Linked DNA regions of Mus musculus: region 2 is reported to be linked to region 1. The links are microRNA targets in miRTarBase. Many come from high-throughput screens and were not tested one by one. Region 1 holds a microRNA gene; the other region holds the end of a gene's coding sequence.
What was found. Region 1 holds the annotated microRNA mmu-miR-802-5p (UCAGUAACAAAGAUUCAUCCUU, at 1,877-1,898, shown strand). A microRNA usually pairs through its seed, bases 2 to 8, with sites in the 3' UTR of a target mRNA and lowers its output. Matches are read on the target gene's strand: a 7mer-m8 pairs with bases 2 to 8, a 7mer-A1 pairs with bases 2 to 7 and ends in A, and an 8mer does both.

Region 2: the mRNA of Slco1a1 is a reported target of mmu-miR-802-5p. Seed matches in the 3' UTR shown: 7mer-A1 at 458-464.

The regions. Positions count from the first base shown.
Region 1 is chr16:93,367,861-93,372,432 of GRCm38, forward strand. It overlaps Mir802 (microRNA 802), which reads left to right and starts at 1,860; the gene lies at 1,860-1,956.
Region 2 is chr6:141,905,235-141,909,234 of GRCm38, reverse strand. It overlaps Slco1a1 (solute carrier organic anion transporter family, member 1a1), which reads left to right. Exons shown (of 14, transcript NM_013797.5): 14 at 105-1,954. The coding sequence ends at 324. It overlaps Gm30843 (a long non-coding RNA gene), which reads right to left. Exons shown (of 4, transcript XR_378120.4): 3 at 115-283. Among named protein-coding and RNA genes, the nearest start is that of Gm30843, 31 kb to the right of the region's middle.

The DNA of each region.
Region 1 (4,572 bases):
ACACACACTAGTTCCAGTGATAATCATGAAGCAGAATCCATATGAGCCCTTTCAGACAGAGGTTAATACAGTGAAAGAGGTACAGAGATACTTGTAAAAGGAAAATTTTAAAGGCAACATCCACATGAGTCAGTCTATGAATTATTTGTGACTTTTGACTCTCCGGCCACATGACAGTAGAGGAGAAATAAGCAATCCTTTAAAAAGCCAAAATGTCATTACTTAAGCCAAGCCCTGCCTGAACTGTTCTAATTGTATCTAAATTGTTTCGTAGGTTCCTCTCTCGATAGTGTGATGTGGCAGGTGCCCCGGGCCTTTAGCTTGCTAATCAATTATTAATCCGGGAGTTAATAATTCATGTTAATTGGTGCTATAAGCACTTTCTCTGGCAAATGTGAGCAAAGGTCACAACTTTTAACAGCAAAGGGGAAACATTCTCCAAGTTTCTTTTTCCATGGCCTATCATGGAAATACCAAGATACGGAAGACAAAATTTAACCAGAACTGGGAAAGCAAGATAGCTCCACAGCTGAAAGATTAGACATCTCTCTGGGGGACCAGCTCTGTTCCACAGCCTGCTGGAAGGAGGAGAGGTCTCCAGGGGACAAGGGACAGGACTTCAGCCCCACAGGAGCGCTCCACTCCGAGGATGCACTCTCTAGGCAGGTTTGTGGACCTTTGTCAACAAGATGAGTAATATAAGTCCTGCTAGTCAGAAAAGCTTTTCTTCAGAAAACAAAAGGAAGCATTGGAGAGGCTAACTCTCTTGTGGGTTTTTCATAGGATGCCTTTTCGAAATTGTAAGACTAGAGGACACAGTCCATCCTAGGATAGCCACAGAAGGAGTTCCTAGCAAAACCTCACTACCGTTGAGCACTTTGACTTTAATGAATGTATGTACACTCTGAGCTCTATTTCCAGGAAGAAGACGGGGTGACTCCTCATTGCCACCGAAGGCAAACAAAAAATAGCTTCTTACTTCATCCGCCCTGGACTACCTTCCCAGCCCACTCCTTTGCCCTGGGCCTACAAGGCAGCCACCTAGGCCTGGGCGCTGCGTGTGTTTGATCCCCTTTGAGCCTTGATAATTATTTGAAAGGTTTGTGTCAAATCCCAGCCTGATGTGATGAAATAACTCGTTCCCATTTGGAGAATAAAACTATTCCTGGTAGCTTTTTACAGCCTCGATTAAAAGATAGAAGTCAGCTATGCCGAGAATGATTGCTGCAGACTTGGGATAAGGCTTAAATGGAAACCACAGGTTCAAGGGTGCCAGGGCCGGGAGGCCAAGCTCAGACTCTTGTTTTTTCTAAGGGGAATGTCGGTAACATATGCTTTCCATTGCTCCACTTTTGACCATTTACATACTGGGGGGCTGTGTGGTTGGCAGCAGGTCCTATTTTTAGGAGTCCTTGAAAACCTTCCCTTTTTAACAGTTCTCATTCTGGCACATACCTGTGTTTTAAGCAAAAGGAAAACCCAAATCCAAGATAGGAAAAGAGAAACATGTGTACAGACACGGGGGATTTTTGCAGCCCTGGAGTCACACAATAAGAAAGCAATCATTCAGCTACGACTTTAAAGATGGATCGTTGCCCGAATTTTCCGACTATTTTCCTTCTAAATGACTGTTTCTTTACAGATCTAAACTAATGTAAAGAGACAGGTTGTCCCCGTGCCAGGAGCGAACAAGCAAAGTAGGACAGAGGCTGTTTTCTAGGGAAGGAATGTGGCAAGATAATGCCTGCTCTGTCTCCCGCAGCCGCTAGCTCAGGCAGAGACGGAAGAGGATACTGCCTGCCCACGGCCTGGTTGTGAGCACAGGCTCCCCACCTGACTCTACATAACCTACCGACTGCGGTCCTATTATTTGCAATCAGTAACAAAGATTCATCCTTGTGTCAATCATACAACACGGAGAGTCTTTGTCACTCAGTGTAATTAATAGCCTTCACCTCGAAAGGGAAGATGAGAGGACGCTGTTCGCACGTGCCTGGGGTGTCCTCGGAGGGCGTTTCTCGTGGATAAGCGCTGCCTTCTGACATAGTAAGCCAATGGAACTCCAGCTGCAAGGGGGAGGTGGCAGGGGCGGTGGAGGTGAGGTAAGCTGAGTGTGTTTGGGGAGGCTGGGCAGGGAGCCCAGTCAGCAAGTGCTCATTGAGGCCCTGAGCTCTGTCCCTGGAACCCACATTAAAAGACATACATGTGATCCAAGCACTGGAGAGAGAGGGGACAGATCCCTGGGGGCTGACTGACCAGCCTTGCTAAATCAGCAAGCTCTAGACCAGCGAAGACCCCATCTCAAAGGCAGTGGACAGAGCCTGAGGAATAATACCCAAGGTTGACCTCTAACCTCCACATGCACAAATGCATGTGTGCACACACGTACGCTTGCCTGTCCACACACTAACATGCACATATGAGTACTCATGCACTGACACTGTAGCCTCTACAAGGGCCTACTGCAAACCACGCTACCTATTCAGTCAGGAACCTGTCAGAGAAAGGTAATAGGCTCAGACTTCAAAAAGACAGCACTGAACACAGGCTTGAAGGTCCGAGGAGTGGTGTCCCGTATACAGTTGTTGTGCCAGTCAAGAATTAAGACAATCCCCCACAGACATGTCCAAGGCCAGTCTGGGCTGAGCGCTCCCTCACTGAGATTTCCTTCTGAGGCAGGCAACCGTAGCCTGGGACAACTTTACAATTTATTCCAACTTGGGCTCTGTGCTTCGTGACAAATATACCATTTTATTAAAGAGGATTCATTGTGTACTTATTTGCAAGTATGACTTTAACTCCTCATCCCGGCACACCATTTTTAGCTGACAGAGTCCTAAGTGTTTAAGAGAGTGAGTGTCCGCATCCCTCCACCCCAAGCTCTTTCTGACGCGTACTGTTGCTTACTATCCGAGTGTGCATACTATCCGAGTCTCTGTGTATATATAAACATGTTCATTTGTGTGTGCATGCACACAGGTGTGCAGGTGTGTGTACACATGGGAGCACACGTGTGTGGAGGCCAGTGCTGGTGTGGGAGTCTCCTTTGACCTCTCTTTACCTTATTCTTCAAGGCAGGGTCTCTCCATTGACCACAGGGCTAATCAGTAGGGCTATCCAGCTTGCTCCAAGGACTCTGTCTTTTCTTTCTGGGAACTAGAATTATAGGGGGGGGTTATCATGGCATGGACAAGTTCAGGGGATCTGCACTAAAGCCTGCATGCTTGAGTGGCAAGCACAGTTTCCACTTAACCTATTTCTCCAGACCACACCAATGTTTAATCTTGAGGACAATGTAGATTACTGTGACTGGGAATAGACGCAAGCACACACACACACACACACACACACACACACCCCACACATGCATGCGTGCATGCATGCACACACATGCACACACGTACATACAAATGCATGCACACACACGTGAGTACTTGAGGCCGAGTTCTTTGCCTCTTCTCCGCAGGGAACCAGGTAAATCTGAGACCCATCTTAGGTCGTTCACATCATCGCAGTCAGAGCAAATGCTGCTGAAGAGACCGCATGCAGTCACCTGGGCTGCCTCACCATTCCAAATACGTCCTCTTCAAGGCCATGCTTGAACTGTACCACATGGCACTCTCTCTCTAAATCCACTGAGAATAATGCCTTCGGCCAGTGTTCCATGGTTGTTTAAAACCTTTCACTACCTCTCTGTTGCGTATACTATACACCTGTGCTGAACGCTAGGCTGGACAGATGGATCTGGGACACCCCAGAGTCTCCATTCCCAGTGGCCTAGTTCTCCTGCTCTCTGTCTGAATACAAACACTGGAGGCTGGTGCCGTTTTGTGGTAGATTCTATACAACAAACAGAGTTATTAGGACAACAGCAGAAGCCAAATCACATCCCTAAAGTAGCTTGTGAGCTTGGCCAAGGTCTGGCTTTGCACTCATCGGTCAACATGGGCGCTGTGTGGTGACGGGTAACTGCACTGTCAGCCAGACAGGATTTAGAATCACCACAAAACACATCCCTGGCTGTGTCTATAATGTGTTTCCTGAATGCTTTGCATGAACAGGGAAGGTCCACCCCAATGGGAGCCAGGGTCGCAGGCTGTGTGAAAAGGAGAGGGTGAGCTGAGAGCCAGACTTCAGTCCCCTCTGCATCCTGACGCCAGGTGCACTGTGAGCAGCGACCTGGTGTGCCTGCTCCATGGCTTCCCCACTGTCACAGTCTGCACCTCAGACCCTGAGCAGGAGAAACCCTTCCAGGCCGAAGTTGCCTTAGTCGGTCAGGTGTTTTCTCATAGCAGCAGGAAAGTGACCATCACCGCTGGACCACCAAACCCAGCAGCCTTTGCTCTGTGTTCTAACAGGAAGCTCATTCCGGCCTCTCAGCCACAACACCTTTGCAGTTACTCATCTGGAAACCATGGATTCACAAATCCCAGGCGTTACCACGGCGGCGACATCTTTCCGTCTCACGCCTTAGTCAGCTCTAGCTGTATTACAAAACACTATGGGTTTAAACCACAGATGTTTGCTTTCTTGAAGCTCTGCGGGCTGTCACCCAGGGTCACGATCCAGCAG
Region 2 (4,000 bases), not on the chromosome of region 1:
TAATCCCTAGATTTTTTTCAAAGAATAAAGGATCTGTAAGAATATACAAAATTAGCTTTCACTAAAAACATTAAAATGTAATACAGATTAGTTCTTTTCAATAGGCACATTTACCTGGGGTTGCCTGCAGCAGTGAGAGGATCAAGCTTTCTCCCCGCAGTCTTCATTCTAATCCTTATGAGGAAATTCCATTTCCCTGGCGACATCCACTCTCCAGACACTGAACTTGCAGAGATGAAGCTCACAGAGAAGGAAAGCGAGTGCACAGATGTGTGCAGAAGTCCTAAGGTCGAGAACGATGGAGAACTGAAAACTAAGCTGTAATGAGTTTTCAACTGGCCTGTGCAAGGCCATGAATGGAATGTACACTTCACTTTCTTTGAATCATGAGAGATATAGTAGGAATCCTCATCTTTAAGGACCTCAACAATTATTTTTTACTCATAATAAAAAACAATTACTGATAGCAGTTTCAGAACATTAAGGTACTACTTCAGATTTTCTCAGATTAGACATCTACGGTGACGCACACACTGAACTTTAAAGCTTCCTTCATTTTCACATGGCATTTTCTCTTTTAACTCAATCAAGGGGAGTTGTGTTTCCTACATATCTTCAAATGGGTTTAAAGTTTTCCTATTCCTGAAACAGCATTCAATTCTACTGAATTTATCCTTCAATGTTGGAGGTATTTAGAACTGAAAATATGCATTCTGGTTGGGACACATTGAAAAAGTTATCTTTTCTATGTTCAAGATGTCTGCATAGGTCTATATCTAGGAGTTTTCAATTTTTTATTATTTTAGACATGAGTTTCTAGGATTAGACATCTTTCTCATGTGTCATCTTCTGTTTTCAGTCTCTCCTTTGTTTAGCCCTGTCACACATTTGATAATTTTGTTTAGAGCACTGACAAACTTAGTCGGGTTATTAAAAATCACATTGCAAAGCTTGTTGGACCCATTTTCCCTAGCAACTCAAAGTCGTTCATGAAAATCTTTCTTCAAAGCAACTATTTGAGAAAGCCAGTTATTTCAAAGGTTCTTTGTAAAGATGTAGTTGTTCCTCAGCTGTACAATGATTGCCTAGCATGTGTGCAACCCTGCATTGAACCAAAAGGTAGAGTAGACTACTGACAATAATAGACAAAATAAAGTAAAATAAGAAATAAATGAAAATAAATCAGAGCTGGATGCAGTAGAAGATATTCTCAAAGACTACTTTCTTATACTCAGGATGCCTCTGACTCAGTGGTCATTTTTTTCATGTGTCCTCAGAACACATGAATAAAATGATAACATATTTAAAAGTATAACTATAATTTTATAATAAATTATAATAAAGTTATAAATTTACAATTAAAATTAAACTATAACATGAATAAAATAACATGACTGTTAACTTTCAGAATCAGAGTAAAACTTTTAAAGTGAGAGCAGGCAGATAGTTCAATCGAAAGGGGTATTTGCCACCAAGCCTCCACCTCAAACTATATATGGAGGCAGGGGGTGGGGGGGAGGAGACAGAGACAGAGACAGAGACAGAGACAGAGAGAGAGTTTAAGCCAAGACTCTTGCTGAAAAAAAATTTGGCTTAATAAAATTCAAAGTATTTGTAAAAAACAAAATCAATTTGTAGTGGTTTGAATATGAAGTGTCCATTCTCAGATAGAACAATAAGGCAATAAGACATTTGGTTTCCTGTTGATAATGCTGCTTAGGGAAGATTGGGCAGGAATATCCTTGGAGGAGGAAATACATCACTGGAATGACCTTTGAGATTTAAAAACCTCACCCTTCTTCCAGTTCATACTCTTCATTGTTCTTTAAAGATATGAAATCTTAGCTTCCTGCTCTAGTCACTGTACCTGCTGCTTGCTATCATACCTCCATGACATGAGAGGCTACAATCCCTCTGAAATCATAAGCCAAAATAAACTCTTTGTTTTAAAGGTAGATTTGTGATGTTTTATCACAGCAATGAGAAGTGACTGATACAGAACTCATCTTACTTTGAGTCAGATAAAGAATGAAGCAATTTTAAGGAACAAAGAGCCTTACTGGGATTTAGACTGGCTAAACTCAAGATAGTAGCATGGTTGTACTACAGCTTAAGGGCAGGCATGGTGATTCCACCAGAGGTTCTCTTATTGTTGAGAATAGTTTTTGCTATCCTAGGTTTTTTGTTATTCCAGATGAATTTGCAGATTGCCCTTTCTAACTCTGTGAAAAATTGAGTTGGAATTTTGATGGGGATTGCATTGAATCTGTAGATTGCTTTCAGCAAATAGCCATTTTGACTATATTAATCCTGCCAATCAATGAACATAGGAGATCTTTTCAACTTCTGAGATCTTCTTCAATTTCTTTCTTCTGATTCTTGAAGTTCTTATCATACAGATTTTTCACTTCCTTATTTAAAGTCACACCAAGGTATTTTATATTATTTGTGACTACTGTGAAGGATGTTGTTTTCCTAAATTCTTTCTCAGCCTTATCTTTGTGTAGAAGAAGGCCACTTATTTCTTTGAGTTAATTTTATATCCAGCTACTGCACTGAAGCTGTTTATCAGGTTTAGGAGTTCCCTGATGGAATATTTAGGATCACTTATATATACTATTATATCATCTGCAAATAGTGATATTTTGACTTCTTCCTTTCCAATTTATATCCTCTTGATCTCTTTTTGTTTTCTAATTGCTCTGGCCAGGACTTCTAGTACTATATTGAATAGGTAGGTAGAAAGTGGGCAGCCTTGTCTAGTCCCTGATTTTAGTGGGATTACTTCAAGTTTCTCTCCATTTAGTTTGATGTTGGCTACTTGTTTGCTGTATATTGCTTTCATTCTGTCTAGGTAGGGGCTGTGAATTCCTGATCTTTCCAAGACTTTTATAATGAAGAGGTGCTGGATTTTGTCAAATGCTTTCACAGCATCTAATGAGATGATCATGTAGTTTGTCTTTGAGTTTTGTTTATGTAGTGAATTATCTTGATGGATTTTCATATATTGAACTATTCCTACATTGCTGGGATGAAGCCTACTTGACCTTGATGGATGGTCATTTTGATGGGTTCTTGGATTCGGCGTGTGAGAATTTTATTGAGTATTTTTGCATCGATATTCATAAGGGAAGTTGATCTGAAGTTCTCTTTCTGTGTTGGATATTTGTGTGATTTAGGTATCAGAGTAATTTTGGCTTCATAGAATGAATTGGATAGAGTACCTTCTGTTTCTATTTTGTGGAATCATTTGAGAAATATTGGTATTAGGTCATTTTTAAAGTTATGATAGAATTCTGCACTAAAACCATCTGGTCCTGGGCTTTCTTTTGGTTGGGAGAATATTAATGAGTATTTGAATTTCTTTAGGGGATATGGGACTGTTTTGATTCTTAATCTGGTCCTGATTTAACTTTGGTACTTGGTATCTGTCTAGAAAATGTCCATCCAGGTTTTCCAGGTTTTCCAGTTTTGCTGAGTGTAGACTTTTGTAGAAGGATCTGATGATGTCTTGGATTTCCTCAGGTTATGTTATGTCTCCCTTTTCATTTCTGATTTTATTAGTTAGGATAATGTTCCTGTGCCCTCTAGTTAGTCTGTCTAAGGGTTTATATATTTTGTTGATTTTCTCAAAGAACCAGTTCCTGGTTTGGTTGATTCTTTGTATAGTTCTTTTTTGTTTCCACTTGGTTGATTTCAGCCCTGAGTTTGATTATTTCCTGCCATCAACTCCTCTTGGGTGAATTTGCTTCCTTTTGTTCTAGAGCTTTTAGCTGTGCTGTCAAGCTGTTAGTGTATGCTCTCCCCAGTTTCTTCTTGGAGGCACTCAGAGCTATGAGTTTTTCTCTGAGGACTGCTTTCAATGTGTCCTATAAGTTTGGATATGTTGTTGCTTAATTTTCATTATACTCTAAAAAGTTTTTAATTTCTTTCTTTATTTCTTCCCTGACAAAGTTATCATTGAGTAGAGTGTTTTTCAGCTTCCATGTGTATGTGGGCT